7 linked regions of the Macaca fascicularis genome follow. The protein of the gene in region 1 interacts with the protein of each later gene in a pairwise test. Links are inferred from orthologs where the notes say so. Each region holds a gene or a part of one and is shown in the gene's direction. Other genes may lie near its edges. The genes, in order: UBE2K, TRIM5, DTX3, TRAIP, RNF32, SIAH1 and MID1.

Region 1 (4,175 bases):
CAAGCAGTTCTCCTGTCTCAGCCTCCTGAGTAGCTGGGATTACAGGCATGTGCCACCATGCCTGAGGGTTTTTTGTTTTTTTTTTTTGGTATTTTTTGTATTTTTAGTAGAGACGGGTTTCACTATATTAGCCAGGCTGGTCTCGAACTCCTGACCTTGTGATTTTGCCGCCTTGGCCTCCCAAAGTGTTGGGATTACAGGCGTGAGCCACTGCACCTGGGCTTTTTTTTTTTTTTTTTTTTTTTTTTTTTTTTGAGACAGAGTCTCGCTCTGTCGTCCAGGCTGGAGTATGGTGGCACAATCTCAGCTCACCATGGTCTCTGCCTCCCGGGTTCAAGTGACCCTCGTGCCTCAGCCTCCTGAGTAGCTGGTATTACAGGTGCACCCTACCACGCCCAGTTAATGTTTTGTATTGTTAGTAGAGACAGGGTTTTACCATGTTGGCCAGGCTGGTCTTGAACCCCTGACCTCAAGTGATCCAACTGCCTCGGCCTCCCAAAGTGCTGGGATTACAGGCATGAGCCACCACTGCCCAGCCAAGACTATATACTCTTATTTCCCAGTGAATACATTATTGACAGTTTTTGAAAATACTGACTGTAGCCCCAAAAAGCTTAACTGGTTGGAGATACAGGGCAGACAAAGGATAGATAAAAATGGTAGGGGCAAAGAGTAAATGCTATGGGATTCTAAGGGTATCTGTATGAGTGAGATTCCTTTTTGTTGTTGTTTTGTTTTTGAGAAGGAGTCTCGGCTCTGTCACCCAGCCTGGAGTGCAGTGGCTTGATCTTGCTCACTGCAACCTTCGCCTCCCAGGTTCAACCAATGCCTCAGCCTCCGGAATGGCTGGAATCCCGGGATTACAGGCATGCGCCACCCTGCCCAGCTAATTTTTTTTTTTTTTTTTTTTTTTTTTTTGAGACAGAGTCTCGCTCTGTTGCTCAGGCTGGAGTGCAGTGGTGCGCAATCTCAGCTCACTGCAGGCTCCGCCTTCCGGGTTCACGCCATTCTCCTGCCTCAGCCTCCCGAGTAGCTGGGACTACAGGCACCCGCCACCAGGCCCGGCTAATTTGTTGTATTTTTTTAGTAGAGATGGGGTTTCACCATGTTGGCCAGGATGGTCTCGGTCTCCTGACCTCGTGATCAGCCTGCTTTGGCCTCCCAAAGTGCTGAGATTACAGGTGTGAGCCACCGCGCCCGGGCACTACACCCTGCTAATTTTTGTAGTTTTAATAGAGGCAGGGTTTCACTATATTGGCCAGGCTGGTCTCAAACTCCTGACCTCAGATGATCTGCCTGCCTCGGCCTCCCAAAGTGCTGGGCTTACATGGTGAGCCACCATGCCTGGCATGCCTGGACTTTTTTTTTTTTTTTTTTTTTTTTTTTTCAGATGGAATCTCGCTCTGTCACCCTGGCTGGAGTCCAGTTGCATGATCCAAGCTCTCTGCAGCCTCCGCCTCCCAGGTTAAGTGGTTCTCCTGCCTCAGCCTCCCAAGTAGCTGGGACTACAGGCGCACCCCACCATGCCCAACTAATTTTTTATATTGTTAGTAGAGACAGGGTTTTATGATGTCGGCCAGGCTGGTCTCAAACTCCTGACCTCAAGTGATCCACCTGCCTCGCTCTTCCAAAGTGATGAGATTACAAGTGTGAGCCACCATGCCCAGCCAAGACTATGTACTCTTATTTCCCAGTGAATACATTATTGATAGTTACTGAACATGTTGACCACAGCCCCAAAAGGCTTACTGGTTGGAGATACAGGACAGACAAAGGATAGATAAAAATGGGAGGGGCAAAGAGTAAATGCTATGGGATTCTGAGGGTATTTGAATGAGGGAGGTTCTTTTTTGTTTTTGTTTTGTTTTGAGTCAGAGTCTCTGTCGCCCAGCCTGGAGTACAGTGGCTTGATCTTGGCTCACTGCAACCTCCACCTCCTGGCTTCAAGTGATTCTCAGGCCTCAGCCTCCGGAATGGCTGGAATCACAGGCATGCGCCACCACACCTGGCTAATTTTTTGTATTTTTAGTAGAGACTGGATTTCACCATGTGGCCAGGCTGGTCTCACACTCCTGACCTCAAGTGATCTGGCTGTCTTGGCCTCCCAAAGTGCTGGGCTTACACGCATGAGCCACCCGACCTGGAGTTTTTTTGTTTTGTTTTGTTTGAGATGGAAACTCACTCTCACCCAGGCTGGAGTGCGGTGGCGTGATTTTGGCTCACTGCAGCTTCTGCTTCCCAGGTCAGGTAGTTCTACTGCTTGACCCAGTAGCTGGGATTATAGGCACGTGCCACCACACCCAGCTAATTTTCCTATTTTTAGTAGAGATGGGGTTTCTAGCCAGGCTGGTCTCGAACTCCTGACCTCAGGTGATCCGCCTGCCTTGGCTTCTGAAAGTGCTGGGATTACAGGCGTGAGCCATCGTGCCCGGGCTGTATGACTGTATGAGGGGGGTTCTTGAGCTAGGTGCTTTTTGTTGTTGTTGTTGTTGTTGAGACGGGGTCTCCCTCATTCGCCCAGGAGCACAGTCATAGCTCACTGCAGCCTTGACCTCCTGGGTTCTAGCAAGCCTTCCACCTCAGCCTCCCAAGTAGCTGGGTCTACAGGTACGTGCTGCCACACCCAGCTAGTTTTTACTTTTTGTAGAGATGGGGTCTCACTATGTTGCCCAGGCTGGTCTTGAACTCCTGGCTTCACACAGTCCTTCTGCCTCAGCTTCCCAACGTTCTGGGATTATAGGCATGAGCCACCTCACCCAGCCTTCTTGAGCTGAGGAAAGTTAAGACTGACCTCAAATTTCAGGAGACAGTCCCAAAGGAATTGTGGTAATATTGCGATTCTTTTTTTTTTCCCCCCCGAGACAGAGTTTTGCTCTTGTTGCCCAGGCTGGAGTGCAATGGCGCAATCTCGGCTCATTGCAACCTCTGTCTCCTGGGTTCAAGCGATTCTCCTGCCTCAGCCTCCTGAGTAGCTGGGATTACAGGCATGCACCACCAAGCTCAGCTAATTTTGTATTTTTAGTAGAGACCGAGTTTCTCCATGGTGGTCGATCAGGCTGTTCTTGAACTCCCGAACTCAGATGATCTGCCAGCGTTGGCCTCCCAAAGTGTTGGGATTGCAGGTGTGAGCCACCACGCCTGGCTGAAATTCTTAAGTAAATAAACTTTTCTCTAGGCACATGAATTGGAACTATGGAACAAAGAGATTATTGATGCACTTATTCAAGAAACACATTTACATATGTAGAACAGAAAGGTTGCACAGCTCTTATATACTCAAACATAGTTGTAGAGTTAGATCATGTTCTTAACTTTCTTCATAGTTACCTTTTGGGGAGGAAAACCACCCTTTTTCATATTAAAGTAAAACGTGTACATAATAAAGTGTGACTGGCATCCAAATCAAGAAACAGACCCTTCCCAGTACCATAGGAATCCTCCTTCCTTTCTAGTTACTTTCCTGACTTCTAATAACAGATTAGTTTTGAGTATGTTTGAGTAAAAGAACAGATGTGAGTATATGTTACGTATTTTAAGTTGGAAAGTTTTCAAAAGATGCTGTTCAAAATCTGTTAAGAAAAATATAGTGTCTTAGAAAATGTACTAAAATGTATTGAATTTCAGTGCTGAAATAGATCTAGGCCAAACTCCTCATCTATAAAATCAGGAAACTGAGGCCCAAGGAGGTTGATTGTTCCTCAGAGAAACAGCTGGTTAATGGTTGAACCCAGGCTTTTTGCATACCAGTTTAGTCATAATAAGTAGTTGGTTTGTGGGAATATCCTTTTCATAAACGATAGTGTAAAAGCTGACTGCTAATACAACTTTACAGAAGGAGATAACAATGCAGTATTATTTAAATGTGTCTTTTCTTTTCCCCCTCTTAGTATGAGAACTTAAACTTGCCAAGGAGGTAGAGATTTTTAACTCCTGAAGCATAATTTAGTGAAGTTAGCTTAGTAATTAAGAGCATGGGCTTTATAATTAGATTTGCTTTGAGTCCTGGCTTTTCTTCTTAAAACCTGAAGTACTGGCTCTGTATCTCGATTATCTTTATCTGTAAAAACTGTGGGAAGATTAAGAGTGTCTTTACAGTGCTTAGAATAACCTTGGGACATAATTAAACAGATAGCTGTTAGATGTCAGAAGTAGCTATGTTTTCATATTCTGTTGTG
Region 2 (4,181 bases), on another chromosome or scaffold:
GTGCGTAACGTGCAGGTTTATTACATATGTATACTTGTGCCATGTTGCTGTGCTGCACCCATCAACTCGTCAGCACCCATCAACTACTAGTTATACCTCATTTACATCAGGTATAACTCTCAATGCAGTCCCTCCCTCCTCCCCCTCCCCATGATACACCGCATGTTCTCACTCATAGGTGGGAACTGAACAATGAGATCACCTGGACTCGGGAAGGGGAACATCACACACCGGGGCATTTTCATTTTCATACTAAATACTCCTCTCTACCAGTGATCCTAGTTCCAGTGTGGACTTCCTGAGATGTTCCAGTAAAGGAAGGCTTAGAAGGGAGGCTATGGTACATGGACCACAGTTCAGCCTTTTGGACAAGTTTTACATAGTAACCAGAAGAGAAGAGAGGAAGGCCTGGCCCTGCTCTGGGATGGAATAGATACTTTGAAAAAGACAACAAGGGGAAGTTGGAGAGTTCTTTGAAAGTTAATAGTTGAACTGCTGTCAGTGTAATAATGTGGTGTTTCTTCATGGCTCTCCAGATAAATTTCTTTTCTTTCTTTTTTTTTTTCTTTAGACGGAGTCTCGCTCTGTCACCCAGGCTGTAGGTGCAGGAGCGTGATCTCCAGTCACTGCAAGCTCTGCCTCCCGGGTTCATGCCATTCTCCTGCCTCAGCCTTCCGAGTAGCTGGGACCACAGGTGCCCGCCACCACGCCCGGCTAATTTGTGTGTGTGTGTGTGTGTGTTTTATAAGTAGAGACGGGTTTTCACCGTGTTAGCCAGGATGGTCTCGATCTCCTGATGTCGTGATCCGCCCACCTCGGCCTCCTAAAGTGCGCGTGAGCCACCGCGCCCGGCCCTCTCCAGATACATTTCTAGCATCCTGTCCTCTCTGGGTCTGGGAGTCTTAATAATATGACATCTCTTCTATCTGTAGCTCCTTTTCTGTTCATAGGTCCTGTAAGATTTTTAAGTCCAGACCAGAAATCTACTGCGATTCTCTAAAAATCATTAACTTTATTCTTCCTTCTCTTTGGGCCATATCTGTCACCCAGAAGCAGAACTCAGCTGCGAGATCAGGAGCAAGAGGAGCACTTTGGAAGAATTTCGATAAAGGGCACCTTTTCTAATTTTTAATGCTTGGTTGGGTTAATCTGAAACTATGTCAGAAGTGGCATGATAACAAGATCCTGAGACTCAAGAGAAAAGGGAAATAGAGTGGGGATGCCTCTATTTCCCTTCACAGGCTCCTCCTGTGAACAGCACAGCTACACAGCAGGCTGACTCATTCAGAGGGCGGGACTCAACCAGGCCCTACGTGGAGAAACGCCATTGGCCTGTAGTTTATCTTTCACTTTCCTGCCCCGATGTGAGCAAGAATTTCCTGCACTTCCTCTAGGAAAATTCCTTTGCGCAGATCAGGCCCCTGGATTGGTGACTGAATCCTAACCGTGTCTTTCCTGGCCTGCCTTCACTCTTCTCCCCAGACTCACTACTTCTGCACTGGTGTCTGAAGGTGTATTGAGTGACTTTGTGGAGGGCAGAAGTAGGAAGTCTTTGGGACAAAACTGAATTTACCTTGGTGAGTTTAACTTATCTGAAAAGCTGTTCGGGATGGGGAAAAGACACCGTTCACAGACGTCCTGCTGCCAGAGCTGACTGAGGGGAATAGAGCTGCCTCGTGGGCAGGCAGATTTGAAAGAAGGGAGAGCTTTAAAATGAAGCGCTTTGTTTCCTGGAAGGCTGGTTATTTTTCCACGCTGACTCTCTCGCCATCCCCTCTCTATTCTATAATTTTTTATTGAACTTTGCTGTAGAGAGCCAGAATTCTCTTTCAGTGCCTTCTCCCAACAAGGGCAAAGACAGGGGCCTTGGAACCCTAATGATTTAATGCCTATCAGTGTGCTAATGTAGTGTTTCTGCATAACTCTACAGGTCAGCTCTCATCACCTGGGCCTGTCTCTGTGGCATCACCTTGGTGGTGTGACAGCTGTCCAGCTCTGTAGCCCTGTCATTGTCACTGGTAAACGGAGTTATTTCCCTAGTTCATATTGGTTACAAAGATAATGGCAAAAAAAGGCAAGCAGGTTTTATTTCTTGCTGGGAGTGGAGAATAAGAGAACTCCTTCTCTAAAGCCCCCTCCCCCGAAACAGTGGGAAGCATGGGCTTTAAAAGAACTCTGCATGGGAAGAGAAAGGAGTGTTAGCCTGCAGGGTGAAGCTCCAGTTGTGCCACCTCTGTTTATAAACACATGTCTTCATACAACACATGCCACAAAGTGGTGGAGATTTTCTTGTTTGCTGTCGGGGTGGGATAACACTCTAGTGATATGTTAATGATCCAAAGGCAATGAGGGATTGTCTGTTCCAGTTTACGCAGGTTTGGGGGTCTAATTTCCCCCTTGGATCTGGTCGGGGTGAAGATATGGACCATGCTGGGCAGTCTGGCTTCTTTAAGCAGCTTTGTCTATAAATAAAAGGAATAAAGAAAACCATTAAGAAAAATAACTTTCCCAGTTATTTCATCAGGGCTTCGTGGTGACAGCATCTGTTTACCCTTACTAGGCACCAAGTCCAGACTCAGGGAACAACTGGATTTCCTTAAAAATCATTAACCTTGCTCCTCCCTCTCCTTGGGCCGAATGTGCCCTGCAAAAGCAGAGCTTAGGTGAGATACAAAGAGCAGCAGAAGCATGTGAAGGAATACCCAGAGATGGCACCGTTTCTAACTTTTAATAAACAAAATGAGTACTTGTGTAAACCAAAAATAAAATTCTGTGGCCCCTAGCCACCTGAATGGACTTTCTCAGCCAGGCTGCTCTTAAAATGTAACCTGAAAGACTGATTCAGGCCATGACAGGAAACGGAAGTGGGACCTGACTCATTATTCCTCTCCAGCATGAACTTCAACATAGACCCTAAGTCTGGTAAGAAACATTTCAGTCTATTCTCTCTGAAGCCTGATACCCTAAGGCTGCATCTGCACAGTAAGAACTTTGGTCTCCACAGTTGCTTATCTGAACTCAGACATTTCCTTTCTATTGATCCCAGGTCTTTAGATAAAGACAGTTGTCAACCAGAGTCTTTCTTAAATGTATTTGATTGAAGTATCTTGTCTCCTTAAAATATATGAAACCAAGCTACACCCCAACCAGCTTGGACACATGTTCTTAGGATCTCCTGAGGGCTGTGTCATGGGGCATCGCCACTCATATTTGGCACAGAATAAATCTCTTCAAAATATTTTACAGAGTTTGACCCTTTTCATCGACACTTGGTTGATGTTAATGATATCAGATGTCAGAAGTGGTGTGATAACAGGATCCTGAGACACATGAGAGAGGGAGTCTCTCTCATGGGGACCCTCTGTATTCAACTCCAAATGTCCTTCCCATGAAAGATATAGCTGCACTTAAGCTAATTCAAGCTTATATGGAAGACTCCAGGCAAAACTGTTTCCTCATCCCAACTTCCCTTCATCTGACCAAATCTTACTGCCTTAAGGTTGATTTTGGAGAGCTCACCTCTGCTTCATGTTTCTTGTCCCTGCTTCTGGTGATAAATCAGTGTTTGGCACCCATCTTCTGAACTCATACAGAATACCTTTCTGGTGGCATTGTAAACCAAAGAAACTAATGGAAGGGGGCCTCACTCAATTTGGATGTTTATTTTGCCAGGGTTGAGGACATGCCTAGGAAAAAGGAGCATAAAATCACAGGAACATCTGTAATTCATGCTTTTTCCAAAGGGGGTTTGAGGACTTCAGTATTTAAAGGGGAAAGAGAAAAGAAAAAAATGGAGGAGAGTCGATAAAAGAAGCAAAAGGTTACATTCTTTTGAGGCTTTAGCTAGCGTTAGCTGAAGCCATAATTTACATGTTAAAGGAGGGCTTGGAGGAGTAATCAATTATGCACTGTCTCCCACTCAGTGAATCTGCATTTTTACAAAAGATAAACAGGGAGTAGCAGAAACAGTCAAACATGCATTTGTCTCAGGTGAGCTGAGGGATGATTTATCCTCTGTCTTTGTCCCATACTAGTGAAGATAAGCTTGCTAATTGACATTGTCAGGGTGAAATTCAACAGATCTCCGTTTCAGAGTAAAGACCTTGGGGCCCACAAGAAATTTCCTTGTGAGCAAATTGTGAGGGAAGCCACCTGGGAGGTATGTGGCTTTGCAGCTATGG
Region 3 (4,007 bases), on another chromosome or scaffold:
CTTAAGTCTTCAACTTCGTGGGAGGTCAGAGGTAGTGAGGGCCAGGGAAGGGTAGGGTGATGGGACCCTTCCTCTTCCCTGAGTTCTGGGCTTGCTAACACTCCATCTTTGTAAAGGTGAGTAGGCCTCTCAGCCCACCAGCTAAAAGAAACGGAATCCAGTATTCCCCCAGGCTTCCTGGGAAAGCTGTCTTCTTCCTGGAGGGAAGGAAGAGTACAGCAGAGTCCTGGGAAAGTGAAGAAAGTGACCAGCTCTCCAGTCTAGAGGGGGAGTGAAAAAGGGGTGGATGAATAGAGGTTGTTGCCAGTTTGGGAGATTCCTGTCTTGGCTGAGGAAGTCTTTTGGCTGGTGGAAAAACCTGGCTTGATGTGGCCCTAGGGAAGTGAGTTGAATTGGGCAGAGACTGCTTGATGTGGGAAGCAGAGCAGAGCTTTTTTTTTTTTTTTCCTGAGAGTTTTTAACTCTATTTGAACCATACACACTTGACACTACCACCACCTCAAGCCATTTTTTAAAAAATGTATTCGTTTCCCATTCTGCACCAGCCTCCATATCGCTGTTTGTGGAAAGAGAAAAATCAGAGGCACTTACCAATGACCAACTGAGAGCAGGTTGTGGGGGTCACAGGAGGTAACAATCTAGAAACAGGCAGATGAGGGAGGGGATTGAAATAGTTTAGTACCCGGATTTGTTTATTTTTTAAAACCAATGCTTTTTTTTTTACTATGACTCTTCCCATCCCACATTGTTCCTCAAAGGCCCTTCTACCATAAGGATTCAAAAAATTGCCGCCCTCCCCCCCGAATCCCCATATACCCACCAACACTTCACCCACCCATCCACCACCAGCTCCCCGGAGCTGCTACGCAGCTGGCTGGGAAAGAAAAGGGAGAGTGCTCCGCCGGGAGCGGGGAGCGAGAAGGGTGGCGTCTCCAGGGATTTAACCTCCTACCCTCAGTTCCATGACGCCACCCCCTCCCTCCAAAGACTGGAACAGCGCCTCCATTTTTGTTTTGGGGAGGAAGGGCAGGGGCTTGCGGATAGAAGGGGGTCAAAGGAACGGTGATTATCACCTGTGAGGGGAAAGAGGGTGCTGTCCTCCCTCCTTCCCTTTCCCTCAGCCTGCACCCCCTGCAACCCCCAACCTTTCGGGGTCTCCCCCCCCCCTTGTTGCTAAGGCCCGGACCGTCATCCCAGCAACAGCCTCAGTCATGTGACCGGCAATGGCGGCGCTGACGAGAGGTAGGTGAGCCCGGCGCCCCCCACACCCACCGCGCGCCCCCCAGGCCCCGCTCGCACCCCTCACACGCCCCTCGCTCCCCCGGCGCCCCCTCCTCCACCTCCCCTCCCCGCGCGCGGCTCCGGGTTCCCCGCTCCGTGCCCGGCCGATCATCTTTCTAGCACCCTCCAGCCTTGGCCTCCATTCGGGGGTTCTGAGGGCTGCGATCGGGGCCGACATGCATCCCCGCCCGGCAATGGGGATCCGGGGGCTTTGGCGAGTGAGGGATGTGGGGAGTTGGTTCCGGGTCGGGTCTTGGAGGAGGCCGTGGGGGTAGGGCGGGAGCTGCCTCAGTGGATGCCCCCAGGGACCCTTGCCCTTCCGGGCTGTCCCTCCCTCTGGCCTCTATCTAGAGGGAGAGACTGTCCCTTGTCCGGCCTGGGTTCCCACAGAGGAATCACAGACCCACCCTAAACTGTGGCCCCGCCTCCCTTTTCTGTGCCAGCAGGACTTGGAGCTAGGACACCTAGGTCCTGGGTCCCCTGTGATGGGGAGGGGGGTGTTGCAGCGCAGATACACTGTATGGGCTGAGACTCTAGGGTTCCATTTTCACTTTATGAATCTCGAGGTGCATCTGGCCTTGGGGGACGATGATGGAGGCATGAAGGGACAGCTGCACCTTTTTGGATCAGTCATTGAATGGAGGTCACACTAATGGCCCTTCTTTCTGTTTGAGCTGCATTTGGAAGTGTTGTGGGTACAGCCTGGTAGCCCAATGCGACCAGGCTCAGGGGAAACATCAGGCCCCTCCAGCTGAGCCCTTGTGTGAGCCCCGCCCCTCCCTAAATGCCAGACTTGGGAGCTGACAGACAGCCCTGCCTGTGCTGGGTTTAAAAGGTGACAATGAGAACTTTGTTATTGCAGGGGCTGCTGCCACTTTGTTCACATCCTTAACAGACTTCAGCAGAAGGGACTGAGTTAGCTCTCAAGGAAGGCTCCCTGGCAATAGGGGCTGAATTATTTGGGAACGTGGAGCAGGGGAGGAGTTGGAGAGCATAGGAAATATTCCGGTCCATGTGATCTGAGGGAGGTGGCAAGAAGACCTCCACCTGTGTGGGCGTTTTCTTTCCTGACATCTTTTATGTGTGCCCTAGGCTTTCTTGGGGGCCTCAGAGCTGGGGAAGAAAGGAGGAAGGTTAGCATGTTCCTTCTTGAGCAACTTGGGGAGAAGCTGATGATGGAATTCTGCAGAGGAGAGAGGAGATGGAAGTGGAGTTTTTATTTCTGGGTTGGCTGAGGGAAATGGTAACATTTGCCATCATAACTTTTTACCCTTCCCCTATTCCCAGTCCTGGTCAGCTGAGTGGAAATAGAAGGATTTCTGCTGCCATCATCTTCCATGGGCTTCCCAGGTATCTCTCCCACAAGGGATCCTCAATTTTCACCCTTAAGCTGGTTTCCTTCATTCCATGTTACCATTCTCAGTAACCTATACCCAGGTTTCTGTCTCTGTTCCATGGGCTGCTGGGTTGGGGGCCATGGGAATTGGGAGAAGGGGTTTCTCACTTTCCTTCCTTTTTTTCCGCCCTACCAGCTCACATGACCTACAAGTAGGGAGCAGGGAAAAAAGAGTGAGCCTGCATGCCAATTCTAAGCTCTTCAGGATCAAAGTAAGCAAAAAGGAGGGGCAAAAAGTCTCCCTCCCCTTTAAAGAGCCCATTTTCCCCCCAGAAGTGGGAGGGGCAAATTGTTTCTATGATCTGGGAGAAATGACAGGAGAAACAAGACTGATACTTGGCTTAGATGATAATACAGCTCTGGAAACTTTTTTGCTCTTCAGTGGGCACTGGGTTTGGAAGATAAGGGGAGAGAGAATATGAATTTGGGGGAAGGGTTGGGGATTAGGCTTTGAGAAAACAGAGGTAATAGAGGGTTTGGAAGGAACCTGAAGTAGGAGGCACTGATACTTGTCAAATGGGGACCCCCCACCCTGAGTCCCTTTCACCCTGGGGGCAGTGTCGTTCGTCCTGTCCAGAATGGCAGCCTGTGGAGGCACCTGCAAGAACAAAGTGACTGTCTCCAAGCCTGTGTGGGACTTCCTGAGCAAAGAGACCCCAGCCCGGCTGGCCCGGCTTCGGGAGGAGCATCGTGTGTCCATCCTAATAGATGGCGAGACTTCTGACATCTATGTTCTCCAGCTTTCCCCACAGGGCCCTCCCCCGGCCCCTCCCAATGGGCTCTACCTAGCCCGGAAGGCTCTTAAGGGGCTGCTAAAAGAGGCAGAGAAAGAGCTGAAGAAAGCTCAGAGGCAGGGGGAGCTGATGGGCTGCCTGGCTCTGGGGGGTGGAGGGGAGCACCCTGAGATGCACCGCGCAGGCCCACCCCCTCTCCGAGCAGCCCCACTTCTGCCCCCAGGGGCTCGGGGGCTCCCCCCTCCTCCTCCCCCCCTGCCCCCACCTCTTCCTCCTCGCCTTCGGGAGGAGGCAGAAGAGCAGGAGAGCACCTGCCCCATCTGTCTGGGGGAGATCCAGAATGCCAAGACATTGGAGAAGTGCCGGCATTCATTCTGCGAGGGCTGCATCACCCGGGCTCTGCAGGTGAAAAAGGCCTGCCCCATGTGCGGCCGCTTCTATGGGCAGCTGGTGGGCAACCAGCCCCAGAATGGGCGGATGCTGGTCTCTAAGGACGCCACCCTCCTACTACCCAGCTATGAGAAGTATGGCACCATTGTCATCCAGTACGTCTTCCCGCCCGGTGTCCAGGGGGTAAGAAGACCATGGCCCGCCCT
Region 4 (4,086 bases), on another chromosome or scaffold:
GTGGATTTCTTGGGCTGAGAGTGAAGATCATCCTCACCACAGTGTATTCCTCAATGGTGGTGGTGGTGGGGGTCCTCTGGACTCTAGAAATCCATGTGAGTAGTGGGTCTTGGGCTGCATTTGGACCGAGGAATACTCCCTGGGCTGAGAGCTCAAGTAAGGGCTGCTGTTTTTGACTCCTGTTGACCGAGGAGCCTCACTCTTGATTTAGGCATAGAGCTGGAATCTACCTGGGCCAGCCACCACAAGGACAGACCCTGCTATTAGCCAAAGATAGCTTCCCTGAGCTGGGGAGAGGGTGTAGGGTGAGCAGTGCACAAAGATTCTATAATGCTCTGCGTTCTTCCTGTGAACACCTGTGCTTTCCACATATGCCCCAAATGAAATCTCACTCTGGGTCTATTTCAGCTGGAGCAGATCAGCTTTATATTATGGGGCTATGCATAAGGTTTCTTCTGGGTAGAGGGAGTAACATTGCTACAGATACTAAACCTAAAAACCCAAAAGTTTACTTACTACACCCCACGTGGGCCTGGGTGAACTTACCAGGGATGCTGCTCTCTGGGAGGACCTCAAAGATAACCTCCTCAAAGATAACTTCTCTGATGTGGGAATAATAAAAAGAATTTGTTAGTCTCTAGTCTTTGAAGCATCTGGGCCTCCAAAATTCCAACCCTACTACAGTCCCAAGCATAACCGATCCTCCTGAGAGTTAAGAGCTAAAGTCAGGGTACTGGCCCTAGTGTCTCCAAACTCAAGGATAGTCATGTCTTACTTGGATGAAGCCAAGGTTGGCCTGGGGTGACCTGAGGGACTGGGGCCTATGTGTCAATCTTTCCAGAATCGCCCGGAACTGATGACTGAGAGGGTAGAGTATTTTGGTCTATGGGAAATATAGACCACAGCGCATGGTCCAGCACTGTCCAGAGCCCAAGGGACCCATCTGGACCATTGTTCTATTCCCTTGCGGCTGCAGTTTTCTCTGCCTTGGCCCAGCCTGCCTCGCGCCAGCTCTGGCGTGGGACTACAATGCGCTGCCTTGCCCTGGAGAAGGGTCCAGCTGGCAGCCTCGCTGCTCCCCGCCTTGATATAACGCTGCGCTCTCAAGTGGCAGGTCGAGTCCTCCCAGAAGACGCCAGAGAGCGACCGCGTTCCGCCCAGGATTCTCTACGGCCTCGGGGCCACTAAGCCCCGCCCCTAGTTCCGCCCACCCGAGGATTTGTCCAATCCAGACGAAATATTTACGCTCCGCCCAAAGTTTTGTGTTGTCACTTCCGGCCTGCTCCAGGAAGTCGTGCTGCGGAGCCAAATTTGAAGGCAGTGGAGGCGCGGGGGAGCGTCTGCGAAGCCGGACCTGTAGCAGTTTCTTTGGCTGCCTGGGCCCCTTGAGTCCAGCCATCATGCCTATCCGTGCTCTGTGCACTATCTGCTCCGACTTCTTCGATCACTCCCGCGACGTGGCCGCCATCCACTGCGGCCACACCTTCCACTTGCAGTGGTGAGTGACTGCAGTGTTGGGGCCCGATGTTTGCCCGGGTACCGCTTCAGGGCCGCGAGGTGTCGGGCCTCCAGGCAGTCCTTCCCCGGAATCCAGACAAGTGATGAGAACCTTCCTCCTAAACGAGGCCCCACGGGAGCTTCCCAACTTGGACAGAAGTGGGTCAGGACAGGCTTTCTGGCAGAGGTGATAGCTGAGCTAAGCCTGAGGGGGACTGAGATGGCTCAGTGAAGACAGATGCTTCCTTGATCACCTATACAAACAGATGTGATTTCACAACCGTTAGCCTGGGCAAGGGTGAGCTTTCACTACATCAACAAATCCTTTTATTTCTTCCAGATAGAAACCTGGTAGGTTTCTGGCAACCCAAGAGGGTAGGGTTACTTGATGGTTTGGAATTAGGACACCCCAGTGTATTCGCCATGTCAGCAAACCCGTTTAACATGGGGAAGGCAAGGAGATGCTCCCCCTATCCAGGGGTCCTGCTGACCGTGTAGGGCCATTCTGTTGAGTGTACAGCTAGTGGGGAAAGATTCCCCTAGCAGATGTGGACAGGCTGGTTTGGACCTCCTAGCAAAAGAGATAAGGCAGAGTTACCCCTGGGAATGGTGGGTGATAATAATCACAGGGGGCTTGTAGGGCTAAAGGCCCTAGGAAGCAGAGAGGCAGGCATGACCCTGATGGCTGCTGGCTTACTGGCAAAGCTTTGTTTAGACCTGTGTTGCTGACAGCCTGAGCCCCATGCTGAGGGAGCCACTGCTGTTTGGTTAGACTAGAAATTAAGCTCGCATCTAAGAGTACTGTACTTTATTTTCTATTTGCCTACTCTATTTTCTTCTATCCTTTTACTTTATTTGTTTATTTTTATTTATTTATTTATTTTTGAGATGGAGTCTCGCTCCTGTCACGCAGGCTGGAGTGCAGTGGTGCGATCTTGGCTCACTGCAACCGCCACCTCCTGGGTTCAAGTGATTCTCCTTCCTTAGCCTCCCGAGTAGCTGACATTACAGGCGTGCGCCACCACGCCCAACTAATTTTTGTATTTTTAGTAGAGACGGGGGTTTCTCCATGTTGGCCAGGCTGGTCTCAAACTCCTGACCTCAGGTGATCCACTCGCCTTGGCCTCCCAAAGTGCTAGGGCCTGTCCTTTTATTTTAAACTTTTCTGTGTACTTGTGTTTTACATGTATCCCTTGAAAACAGCATTTATTTCTTTTTTTATATATTAAAAATTACTTTAGCTTACCCCAAAGATCTTTATTTTATTTTATTTTGAGACAGGGTCTCACTCCGTTACCCAGGCTGCAGTGCAATGGTGCCATCTTAGCTCACTGCAGCCTTGACCTCCTGGGCTAAGGTGATTCTCCCACCTTAGCCTCCCAAGTAGCTGGGACTACAGGTGCCTGCCAGCATGCTCGACTAATTTTTTTTTTTTTGTATTTTTAGTAGAGATGGGGTCTTGCTATGTTGCCCAGGCTGGTCCCGAACCCCTGGACTCAAGCAATCCACCCACCTTGGCCTCCCAAAGTGCTAGGATTACAGGCGTGAGCCACTGCGCCCAGCCTGGGAAAACAGCATTTAGTTGGACTTTTTTTTTTTTTTTTTTTTTTTTTTTGAGAGGGAGTCTCGCTCTGTCTCCCAGGCTGGAGTGCAGTGGCGCAATCTCCACTCACTGCAAGCTTCGCCTCCTGGGTTCACGCCATTCTCCTGCCTCAGCCTCCTGTGTGGCTGGGACTACAGGCGCCCGCCACCGCGCCCGGCTAATTTTTGTATTTTTAATAGAGACGGGGTTTCACCGTGTTAGTCAGGATGGTCTCGATCTCCTGACCTCGTGATCCGCCCATCTCGGCCTCCCAAAGTGCTGGGGTTACAGGCGTGAGCCACCGCGCCCGGCCTAGTTGGACTTTTAAAAGTCCAGTCTGATAATCTTTGTATTTAACTGAACCATTTAGTCTACTTAAAATTGTTGCAATTACTGATTAAATGAAGAGTAAATCTATTGTCTTTAGTCGATTCTGTTTTGTCTTGCCTATTATATCTTATTCTCTCCTTTCTTGCCTTGGTGGGAATTGGTTAAATATTCTGTATTTCTCCATTTTCCCTCAGTTAGTTTGGACGTTATGTACCCCATTTCCATTTATAAGTGGTTATCCTAGAAATTAAGGTATGTATCCTTAACTTACCAATTTCAAGGTTAATCAACACCTTTCTCATTTTCCCAGGCAACTCAAAGAGCTTAGAATAGTAACACTCTCTTCCCACTTCTACATTATTGTTGAATGTTTTAATTGGTGTATTTGTGGTATTTTTTTTGTTGGTGTTATTTTTGAGACAGAGTCCTTCTGTCTTGCCCAAGCTGGTCTGCAGTGGTGCAATCTCTGCTCAGCCTCCTGGACTCAAGCGATCCTCCTGCCTCAGCCTCACAAATAGCTGGGATTACAGGTGCATGTCACCATGCCCAGCTAATTTTGTTTTTTAGAGACAGGATTTTGCCATGCTGCCCAGGCTGGTTTGAAACTCCTGTACTCAAGCGATCCACCCTCCTTGGCCTGCCAAAGTGCTTGGGTTTACAGGCATGAGCCAACACGA
Region 5 (3,500 bases), on another chromosome or scaffold:
GCATCCTTGAGACGTCCTGGAACACTTTCCTTGTGGATACCAAGGGACAGCTTCTATTATGAAATAAAGTATGTGATCTATATGTAGTTCTTTAATAATTGTTTGCAAATGGTGTCATTAAAATTATAGGTGGGTGCCATATGCTAAAAGACATTCTAACTGCTGTCTGTGCTGTCTGCTGTCTTCCTTTAGCACAGAAGTTGGGCCTCATTGGGCCTCCACCACCTCAGCTGTCATCTGATGAATGGGAGAAGGTGAAACAGCGCTCCCTCCTGCAAGGGGACTCGGTGCAGCCATGCCCCATCTGTAAAGAAGAATTCGAGCTTCGACCTCAGGTGTTTAGCGTATGAGGGTGAGCTAGAGAAATCCTGGGCTGTTTCCTAGGGATGAGGCCCAGAGCTGGAGCCTAAGATTCCAGGCTTCCTTTTCCCAGTTTCATCCTCTTGTGTGAGCCTCACACACTTCCATTTTCTTTTCCATTAATTAAAGTGTGTGAAGAGCTAAACACCCTCATTAAATAGTTTTGTTTGTTTACTGACTGGTATTCTCAAGTACTAACGTTTGTACAAAAGGAATGTTTCTGTTCAACAGGCCCCATGTGGCTGTGCAGACAACTGGGGGCTTCCCAGGAGCAGCTGTGTCCCAGTGCGGGAAGGATGAAAGCAGAGGAACTCTTACGTTGTTTTGTGATTTGAGTCAGAAAAGAAAAGAAAAAAAAAAACTGTGCTTGAATGTCTCCAAAGAATTTATGAGAAAATCTTTAAGAAAAGTAAAATCTTTTAATGATTTCTCTTCATGAAACTTTACCATAGTAAGATTGATGATACTACTCTGGGTTAACAGATAATACACATACACACACACACACACACACACACACACAGAGAGAGAGAGAGAGAGAGAATGCATGTAGGGTTTTTTTCTATACATATTTTGTCTGCCTAACTAAAAAAACAGTCTCTTGAAGTTGGGGACACTTAGATTTATCAGAAGTGTGTGTGTGTGTGTGCGCGCGCGCGCGCGTGTGCACGATTGCCCTGTAATGATTTCCCACGGAGTGTGGCATGACGCTTCCTGCATAGCAGGCCCTCAGAGATTTGCTGAGAAAATACAGCAAATACAATTAAAATCAGCCTTGGAGTTCGTAGCCTGGGAACCCAGGCTTATTACAGTCTGGGCAAATGAACTCTGAGTCTTCGCTGAATTTGAGTAAGTTTCATCTGCAGAAAGCTCACAACAGTTACACTTCTCTTCACTAATCTGAATTCATAAGTTACTTAGACATACTTATTCCATTTCTCTATCAGGACCTAATCTTACGTATGTGAAAGTTGGGTATTTTGGACAGATTTTAGCCCTAAAACCACAAATTGTCTAGAATAATTTAGTACTTTAGGTAGCAAAACTGTGAATAAAATCAGAGGGTGTCTTTCTGGCTAAGCAACCTCTTTCTTATACTAAAATATCGAGCCTGGAGTGTCTGTATGAAGAATGAAAAGTGAAAGTTAGTATCTTATGGGCATCAGGGTGTACCCTGCCCAACATTTCTTTCTGTTTTTTATAAATTTCTCCCTAAATTCTATTATTTTTATTTGGTTTTGATATAGAACCTATCCTGTATATTTGGCACTTCTAATGATCATTTCCGTGTTCAGATTTTTCCTTAGTTATAAACAATAGTTGGCATTTTTACAACATTTAATGATTTCAGAGGGCCTTCAATTAATTTCATATAGTAGGCATTCTGCCCATTTAGCAGATGAGGAAATAAAAAATAATTCAAATGGTTCATAGTAGGCCAGCTTAGAAAGTATGGAGTCCTGCTGGAATCCAGTCCTACCTTCTAGGCCATTTTTAGTATGTTTTCCACCACTTACTCCTTGATTTTTGTTACATCAGAGAATGTTTGCCAATAAGAAATATTTGTGGACATTTAAAAAGATAACACTTTAATATACTGGAGTCTTATGTTGCTCAATATAGATAGAATGTATGTTAAGGAAACACTGAAAAGTATTCTATAAAGGATGAATGAAGTATAGAAAAGATTGCTATTCAACGGTAGTAATAAAAAAGGACCCATATTACTGAGTTTATTCAATTCAGACTTACTCTTGGCAATAAGTTTCAAGAAAAGGTTTTACAACTTTCTGAGTTCTACTTATTTCTGTATTTCTTCCATTTAAGAAGAAAAGCACACATTGAGTGAAGGCAGGTGGGATTCACTTTAAAAACTGTTAAGTTTTCCCCACAGCAGGCATCCTGGGCCGCCTGAGACTGAAACCTCACCCGGGAGGGGCCCAGACTGCAGTCACCCGAGTCAGACTCTTGACAGAAAGGGAAACCCCTCCGCCTGCCCCCACTGCTTTGCTCCGTCTCACAAGTTCCCCCACTTTCCTCCCCATTGCTGGAAGCAGCCCCGCCCCAAGGGAAGCCTGGCCTTCGTGTGGCAGCCCGCAGGGCCTGGCGCTGGTGGGCTGGTGGCTCTGTCCCTTCTACTGAGTACCCACTGCCTTCTTCATTTGGTCTAAGCTTCAGTCTTTTGTCACAGCCCAGAATATCACTGTTTAGTGGGGAATTTGGGTCACAGAAAGGTGAAGTTTTCTTGTGAGCACACTCCCTGCATTAAAAAAAAAAAAAAAAAATGACTCCTATGTCTCCATGATGTGTTGCTATTTAAATTTAAGACTGTCAGAATTATATCTCAGTAGGGCTATGATTTCACAAAAACTGGGGGGCATAACTGAGCTGTACAAAGACCTAAATGGTATTTACTTAGCGTTTCCCTGGCCCCACTGGACGGGCCCCCCTCCTCACCCCTCCAGTTTGCAGTCTTTGCCTGCATCTAAGGGAAACACTCATTTTGTCATTGTTTCGCTCTTAAGTATACACTCATTTTGATAATTACATATCAAACTTCATGTGTTTATTTGATATTTCAGATCATTAATTTTTCTTGTTTAGAGTATATACTTGTGCTGTGCTAAACAAACAATAAATAGTATAAACATCAAAGCTATAAATTTGCCTTTTTAATTTTTAAAGAAATAATACAGCTTACCTTCTAAGCATTCAGGAATTTAACTGTTGCATTCATGCTGCTTCTCTTTTGTAAACTTCAATGTCGTTCTGTTTCCTCATGAACAGGTGCTGCTTTCATGCTCCCATGTGTTCCACAGAGTAAGTCCGCCCCTCACGCCTGTTCAGGTGCCCCACACATCGCTCTTACAGTGCAGAGAAACTATAGTCATTTTCAAGGCTCCTGAGAAGAGCCATTTATTTTATTCATCACCACCATCTATAGTTAAAGAAACATGACTGTAGGCTACAGTACAATTCATCCTATTTTGAAAATCATGAGTTTTGTGACAAAAGAACCACAAATGTTTATGTAACAGATTGTTGTCAGTAATGCGTGTCAGTGACAGCTAAATTCACATGATCGATCTGCATGTGGTCCCATAGACACGCATGACTCGCCTTTGTGCTAGTGGATTTCA
Region 6 (2,885 bases), on another chromosome or scaffold:
TTTATCCAGGACTTCACCTGTAACTCCCTATACCTATCAATAGCTGACTCCAAATTAGAAAGAAATAAGAGTAAGGGAGTCTCAGGGAGAGAGTCCTAGCAAAACGGATTCGATTAAACTTCAGTTCCTTGTATAGTTTCTCTAGTTGTTTATGGTCCATCTTCTATTTTAGCATTTATTATTCCATGTAGTCTATCCAAAGACGATTAAGGGAGTTCCAAATGTTTTCCGGAATATTTTGAAAAGAGAGCTTATCCAGTGTACAGATCCTAATAAAGTGCACATTCAGTGTAATTTTATTTTTTAGTATGTTACTTTTTAAATTCTATTTATTTTTCTTTCTCTTTTGCTCAGTAAATTTTGCATGAAACTTTAAGTACTTCTGGCATGTAAACATTATTTGTAAAATAAGTCATGGTTATAATTATTTTTCTCCTGCCTCCTTATGTATTTATTTCAGAAATGAGCCGTCAGACTGCTACAGCATTACCTACCGGTACCTCGAAGTGTCCACCATCCCAGAGGGTACCTGCCCTGACTGGCACAACTGCATCCAACAATGACTTGGCGAGTCTTTTTGAGTGTCCAGTCTGCTTTGACTATGTGTTACCACCCATTCTTCAATGTCAGAGTGGCCATCTTGTTTGTAGCAACTGTCGCCCAAAGCTCACATGTTGTCCAACTTGCCGGGGCCCTTTGGGATCCATTCGCAACTTGGCTATGGAGAAAGTGGCTAATTCAGTACTTTTCCCCTGTAAATATGCCTCTTCTGGATGTGAAATAACTCTGCCACACACAGAAAAAGCAGACCACGAAGAGCTCTGTGAGTTTAGGCCTTATTCCTGTCCGTGCCCTGGTGCTTCCTGTAAATGGCAAGGCTCTTTGGATGCTGTAATGCCCCATCTGATGCATCAGCATAAGTCCATTACAACCCTACAGGGAGAGGATATAGTTTTCCTTGCTACAGACATTAATCTTCCTGGTGCTGTTGACTGGGTGATGATGCAGTCCTGTTTTGGCTTTCACTTCATGTTAGTCTTGGAGAAACAGGAAAAATACGATGGTCACCAGCAGTTCTTTGCAATTGTACAGCTGATAGGAACACGCAAGCAAGCTGAAAATTTTGCTTACCGACTTGAGCTAAATGGTCACAGGCGACGATTGACTTGGGAAGCGACTCCTCGATCTATTCATGAAGGAATTGCAACAGCCATTATGAATAGCGACTGCCTAGTCTTTGACACCAGCATTGCACAGCTTTTTGCAGAAAATGGCAATTTAGGCATCAATGTAACTATTTCCATGTGTTGAAATGGCAATCAAACATTTTCTGGCCAGTGTTTAAAACTTCAGTTTCACAGAAAATAAGGCACCCATCTGCCTGCCAACCTAAAATTCTTTTGGTAGGTGGAAGCTAGACACATGAAGGTAAATGAAAGGAAAGGCTGTTAAATACAGGAAACAGTTGCATGTAGTAACACTAATATATTTAAAAATAAGTCAACAGTAAACCACTGAAAAAATATATGTATATACACCCAAGATGGGCATCTTTTGTATTAAGAAAGGAAGCATTGTAAAATAATTCTGAGTTTTGTGTTTGTTGTAGATTGATTGTATTGTTGAAAAATAGTTATTTTGTTTTGTTTTTGCGTGGGAGTGTGTGCGTGCGTGGGTGTGTGCGTGTTTGGGTTTTTCTCCTTTAACTGACAAGCCATCTTGAGTGGTCATGGGCCACTGCTTTTCCCCTTTGTGAGTCAATACATAGTGCTGCTGTGTGCTTTTTTGTGTGTGTATTTGCTAATTTTTATTAATTTTAGTTTTTCATTAAATAAATTTGACTTTCCTTTCTGTAATTCAGGTTTTTCTTCACTTTTTTTGTACCATTTTAAAGTTAGTGTCTTTTGATATGCATACTTGTTATGGTAAAAGTTTGTAACATGTGTTCAATATTTTCTTTTCCCCCATTAATCAGTTCATTAGAAATATTTTAAAATCAGCTACTTTGTGAAGCTATGAGTTCCAGAAAGTAAAGGTGACATCGGAAAAATGATCAAAAGCTATTTAAAGCATCTGTAAGATGGTCTCTCTCTTTCTCTCTTCTACGGATGAGTCACACCTTTGAGCTTAATCTTTGAAAGGTTAGAGAATAAATTGATTTTTATAAGTACTGCAAATCAGGCTTTTGTTTCCTTTTTCAAATATCTTGGATAAATCACATGTTTAAAATTTGTTCTTGTATTTATTGGTTTTGCAAAAGAAGGCATCGTCATGCACAGTATTTGTAATTAAAAGCAAATCATTTGTTTAAAAAGGCAGTTTGCAAAAAAATGTTTTTGGTCTTTTATAATTCTCATTAAAAGAATTTCTGGCAAATTAAAAAAATCTTACTGTGTCTGCTTTAGCTCTAAGTTTGATAAAATCCAAAGTTATTTTCCTGTTTCATTCCGTACTTTAATTATATAGCAGAAAGCTGTGTGTTGTCATTTTTAAGTGTGGTAGAGTTATACTCTAAATCACAGCAAATAACTGGGTATATGGCTTCTGGATTACAGTCTTTCCCATGCTCTGCCCCTCTTGCCCACATTTTGATTCTTACAACTGTCAGGAGAATGACTAAAATGCTGACCACTTTTCACCTCTTTAAAAAAGCACAATGAAATAATAAATTTACTATTTCATAGCCTAGTGGTTAAGAGCCTTGGTTCTGCAGCCAGACTTCAGGCACCTAAGTGCCAGTCTCGGCTCTACCCCACTAACCAGCTGTGTGACCTTGGGCCCCAGTTTCCTAATGTGTAAAGTGGGGTTAAATTATGGTAGCTACTTAAAAAGTTTTAATGGGGTACAGGTATGTTACCTCAAACAGTGCTTTGTTCATATCAGCA
Region 7 (3,500 bases), on another chromosome or scaffold:
GGAAGAATTGCCACGATGGGTAGGTGGCATAGTGGTAGAAGGGGAATTGGTTTTATATGGGTTCAGAGAGAAAGTGACACTGGAGCAGAGAGTCATGTGGATTCTGAAGACCTTGCAGGGGCGAGCAGGGGATTGATGTGCTTGGCATGTTTGAGGAGTCAGAACGAGGCCATGTGCCCAGAGCAGAGAGAGGAGTGGGTAGCATGGGAGGAAGTGAGCTCACTGTCTGAGTCTTTGTTTTCTGGGTCTAGTTTATTCTGGTGAATTTCTCTCTGGGTGAAATGGGAAGCCCTTACAGGGCAGAGCAAGAGGAGAGGCATGTTCTGTCATGTTTTAACAACAGGCTGTCTGGCTTCTGAGTGGAGGATAGACTATAGGGGGAAGGGCAGGAGTGAACAGAAGCCAAGAGATCGTTTAGAAAGGTCTTATGATAGTCTACATAAGAGATGATGCTGGCTTGGCCCGTGATAATAGAGATGAGGTGATGTGAACCCCAGATTCTGGCTTCTTCAGCTAACTTAGTGCCTGGCACACAGTAAACATCTGTTGAAGGAATGAATAAAATGTCAGTATTTCCACTGAGGTCTCTCCAGCGGAATCCTTTCTAGAAATTCTCATCACACCTCTTTGGGATGGAATCCTGGCACCTGCATTAAAAATACAGTCATCATAGCTCTCCAGACATAATTTGATGCTCATCCTTCTATTGAGATTCATTGGTAGGCATTCTTGTTTTATCCAAGAACAAAGCAGACCAAAAGGGCAATATTTTTCCTTTAATTTATATGCTTTTGATGAGAAGGTGGAAGAACTTTGATTTAAAGATAATTCTACATTTTTTTCTATGATTAACCAAAATAATTATTAATAGGTAAAAAACTTTCCATTTCTTCTGAGCCATCTATAGGAACAGGTAACTGAGACCAAGTGGGGATGATATGTTTCTTACAACAGCAACCCTAGGGTTTCCATTGCAGGTTATAGAAAGATGTACAAGCTTTAATATTTCAAGTCACAGTTGCTCTTTTATTCTTTCCTATGTAGTAAATACTAGTGAATGGCTGAAGATTTTTTAAGATACCAGACTTTTATGAAGCCAGTAGCTATTTAATTTTTAACAGGCTCAGGACATACTTTATACTTTTAATGATCAGTTACCATTCAGTTGGTAGCAAGATGAGCATTAATTTCACCAAAGCACCATATGGTATTTCTGAGGGATGCTATTTCAGAAGGGGTCAGGGTATTCTAGAAACCGTAAATTTTGTAAATAAGCAGAGGTATGAATACAAACGATTGATTGTCAGAATCACTAAACATAGCTTTGGATGTGAAGCCTTCCCATAAATCCGGCTGAGAATGCTCTCCCCACCACCCCTGTGGGTGATTTGAACCTCCCAACCACTGGGTGAACTGCACTGTTCTCCCACAGCCTGCAGTGGGCTGCATCTAATATTCCCATCACTGGTCTGCAGACCTCTGCTAATGGTCTTGAAAGGGAGAAGGTTCAAAGCGGCTTGGTTCCCAGGCCTGCTAATGAGCATGAGGCCTCTTCACCCTTAATGAACTGGGGTTTGTGTGGAATTCCTTCCACTACCCTTTTTGATGGGAAGGCAGATGAGAGTTCACAAAAGCACTCAGGTCTTTATGGCGAGGGGAGCAGGCAGCTGGGCCACCCTCGGGTGGCCTGGAGGGGAGCAACAAAGCTGGCAGAGGTCGTACCCAGGCCAACACAGCTCTAAGTGTGAGGCTAGACCTCCCGCCAGCCTGACCTTTTGCTGGCAACAGTGACAAACCCGTGATGGGAGTTTTTTGGCCAAAAGGGTCCCTCAGCAGGTTTGTAAGCCTCCTTAAATTGTAATCGTTATCATTGTCATACTGTAATTGTTATCATTGTCATAACATAACTTATCAAATGAATATGATAACCACTGAAATCCTTATTCTAATTAACTAAATTGTTGCTCTAAATATTAGTCATTGGTACTCAAACTTACTGCAGCCACCAAAAAAGCCCCCAGATATTTTTCTCCGCTTCGTTCTGCCTACCCACGTCCCACTGCCGGATTATACAATAGAATTATTCAGAAGCATAATGAACACATGCCAGAAATATTGCCTGTATCACAATCATCTTTGTGAAAGTCAATGTTTTTTCTCGGGAATATATTTTGGAAAATGACATCCCATACTTAAACACGATCATCTCTGCTGAAATCCCTGCATTTGATTTCATATACATTTCATGTCCATTTCTATAGTTACTGCCTTCCCACCGTTCTGAAACCTGGTTTGGTATTGCCAAAATAAAAGTAAAAGTCCTTAAATCTCATATACATTAATATGTAAGTTTATAAATTCAAATTTATAAAAGACTCTATTGATGAATATTTCTACATTTTAATTTTCTGTGCAAGGTTAAACCTGACTCTGACACAATAAGATTATTCTGATTAAATACAAATTATGGAAATTACAGTTTCAATTACTTTCCAGTTTTGAATAAGGCCTTTTAAAAAACAAAATTGCAAAAACAAAATTGTAAACTTTCAGTTACTGAACTTCGAGAAAATATTAACTGGTATATGATGGCTCAGGATGGCTCCCAGTGAATAGAAAGAGAATTATTTGGAATGTACACACACTTACCCTTTCATGACCTGTGTTTGGAATTATTCTGAGATGCATTCAAAGCTGACACCCCCCCATGGTTGACCTCCCTGTGCCTAATCAGATCTTACATTCTTGTTTCCAGATAGCTGATCAGCTTCCTTGGGTTTTGCTGATGACACAAGAGAGCTTTGCCTGAAGATGGAAACACTGGAGTCAGAACTGACCTGCCCTATTTGTCTGGAGCTCTTTGAGGACCCTCTTCTACTGCCCTGCGCACACAGCCTCTGCTTCAACTGTGCCCACCGCATCCTAGTATCACACTGTGCCACCAACGAGTCCGTGGAGTCCATCACCGCCTTCCAGTGCCCCACCTGCCGGCATGTCATCACCCTCAGCCAGCGAGGTCTAGACGGGCTCAAGCGCAACGTCACCCTACAGAACATCATCGACAGGTTCCAGAAAGCATCAGTGAGCGGGCCCAACTCTCCCAGTGAGACCCGTCGGGAGCGGGCCTTTGACGCCAACACCATGACCTCCGCCGAGAAGGTCCTCTGCCAGTTTTGTGACCAGGATCCTGCCCAGGACGCTGTGAAGACCTGTGTCACTTGCGAAGTATCCTACTGTGATGAGTGCCTGAAAGCCACTCACCCGAATAAGAAGCCCTTTACAGGCCATCGTCTGATTGAGCCAATTCCGGACTCACACATCCGGGGGCTGATGTGCTTGGAGCATGAGGATGAGAAGGTGAATATGTACTGCGTGACCGATGACCAGTTAATCTGTGCCTTGTGTAAACTGGTTGGGCGGCACCGCGATCATCAGGTGGCAGCTTTGAGTGAGCGCTATGACAAATTGAAGGTTAGTCCGATCCGCCTTAAGCCAACCCC

Evidence for each region.
Region 2: the proteins of UBE2K (region 1) and TRIM5 interact in binary tests that used the Homo sapiens proteins (3 or more experiments, as listed by UniProt). The link is inferred for Macaca fascicularis from reciprocal best matches to the Homo sapiens genes UBE2K and TRIM5.
Region 3: the proteins of UBE2K (region 1) and DTX3 interact in binary tests that used the Homo sapiens proteins (3 or more experiments, as listed by UniProt). The link is inferred for Macaca fascicularis from reciprocal best matches to the Homo sapiens genes UBE2K and DTX3.
Region 4: the proteins of UBE2K (region 1) and TRAIP interact in binary tests that used the Homo sapiens proteins (3 or more experiments, as listed by UniProt). The link is inferred for Macaca fascicularis from reciprocal best matches to the Homo sapiens genes UBE2K and TRAIP.
Region 5: the proteins of UBE2K (region 1) and RNF32 interact in binary tests that used the Homo sapiens proteins (3 or more experiments, as listed by UniProt). The link is inferred for Macaca fascicularis from reciprocal best matches to the Homo sapiens genes UBE2K and RNF32.
Region 6: the proteins of UBE2K (region 1) and SIAH1 interact in binary tests that used the Homo sapiens proteins (3 or more experiments, as listed by UniProt). The link is inferred for Macaca fascicularis from reciprocal best matches to the Homo sapiens genes UBE2K and SIAH1.
Region 7: the proteins of UBE2K (region 1) and MID1 interact in binary tests that used the Homo sapiens proteins (3 or more experiments, as listed by UniProt). The link is inferred for Macaca fascicularis from reciprocal best matches to the Homo sapiens genes UBE2K and MID1.

The regions. Positions count from the first base shown.
Region 1 is NC_088379.1:38,999,249-39,003,423, forward strand, and holds the start of UBE2K (ubiquitin-conjugating enzyme E2 K), read left to right. Parts: upstream 1-1,375; 5' UTR 1,376-1,390; coding exon 1,391-1,464; intron 1,465-4,175. UniProt on the Homo sapiens protein: Accepts ubiquitin from the E1 complex and catalyzes its covalent attachment to other proteins. In vitro, in the presence or in the absence of BRCA1-BARD1 E3 ubiquitin-protein ligase complex, catalyzes the synthesis of 'Lys-48'-linked polyubiquitin chains.
Region 2 is NC_088388.1:68,355,383-68,359,563, forward strand, and holds the start of TRIM5 (tripartite motif-containing protein 5), read left to right. Parts: upstream 1-1,381; 5' UTR 1,382-1,429; exon of another isoform or gene 1,430-1,577; intron 1,578-2,624; exon of another isoform or gene 2,625-2,922; intron 2,923-4,181.
Region 3 is NC_088385.1:64,415,542-64,419,548, forward strand, and holds the start of DTX3 (probable E3 ubiquitin-protein ligase DTX3), read left to right. Parts: upstream 1-1,207; 5' UTR 1,208-1,242; exon of another isoform or gene 1,243-2,116; intron 2,117-2,373; 5' UTR 2,374-2,414; intron 2,415-2,568; 5' UTR 2,569-2,631; intron 2,632-2,813; 5' UTR 2,814-2,860; coding exon 2,861-2,889; intron 2,890-3,235; coding exon of another isoform or gene 3,236-3,254; coding exon 3,255-3,984; intron 3,985-4,007. UniProt on the Homo sapiens protein: Regulator of Notch signaling, a signaling pathway involved in cell-cell communications that regulates a broad spectrum of cell-fate determinations.
Region 4 is NC_088376.1:112,887,604-112,891,689, reverse strand, and holds the start of TRAIP (E3 ubiquitin-protein ligase TRAIP), read left to right. Parts: upstream 1-1,286; 5' UTR 1,287-1,400; coding exon 1,401-1,498; exon of another isoform or gene 1,499-1,795; intron 1,796-4,086. UniProt on the Homo sapiens protein: E3 ubiquitin ligase required to protect genome stability in response to replication stress.
Region 5 is NC_088377.1:197,954,086-197,957,585, forward strand, and holds part of RNF32 (RING finger protein 32), read left to right. Parts: intron 1-192; coding exon 193-335; exon of another isoform or gene 336-346; coding exon of another isoform or gene 347-352; intron 353-3,147; coding exon 3,148-3,180; intron 3,181-3,500. UniProt on the Homo sapiens protein: May play a role in sperm formation.
Region 6 is NC_088394.1:44,266,633-44,269,517, reverse strand, and holds the end of SIAH1 (E3 ubiquitin-protein ligase SIAH1), read left to right. Parts: intron 1-460; coding exon 461-1,311; coding exon of another isoform or gene 1,312-1,414; 3' UTR 1,415-2,385; downstream 2,386-2,885. Other genes in the region: LONP2 (lon protease homolog 2, peroxisomal), read right to left, coding at 1,295-1,414. UniProt on the Homo sapiens protein: E3 ubiquitin-protein ligase that mediates ubiquitination and subsequent proteasomal degradation of target proteins.
Region 7 is NC_088395.1:10,265,561-10,269,060, reverse strand, and holds part of MID1 (E3 ubiquitin-protein ligase Midline-1), read left to right. Parts: intron 1-2,755; 5' UTR 2,756-2,811; coding exon 2,812-3,471; intron 3,472-3,500. UniProt on the Homo sapiens protein: Has E3 ubiquitin ligase activity towards IGBP1, promoting its monoubiquitination, which results in deprotection of the catalytic subunit of protein phosphatase PP2A, and its subsequent degradation by polyubiquitination.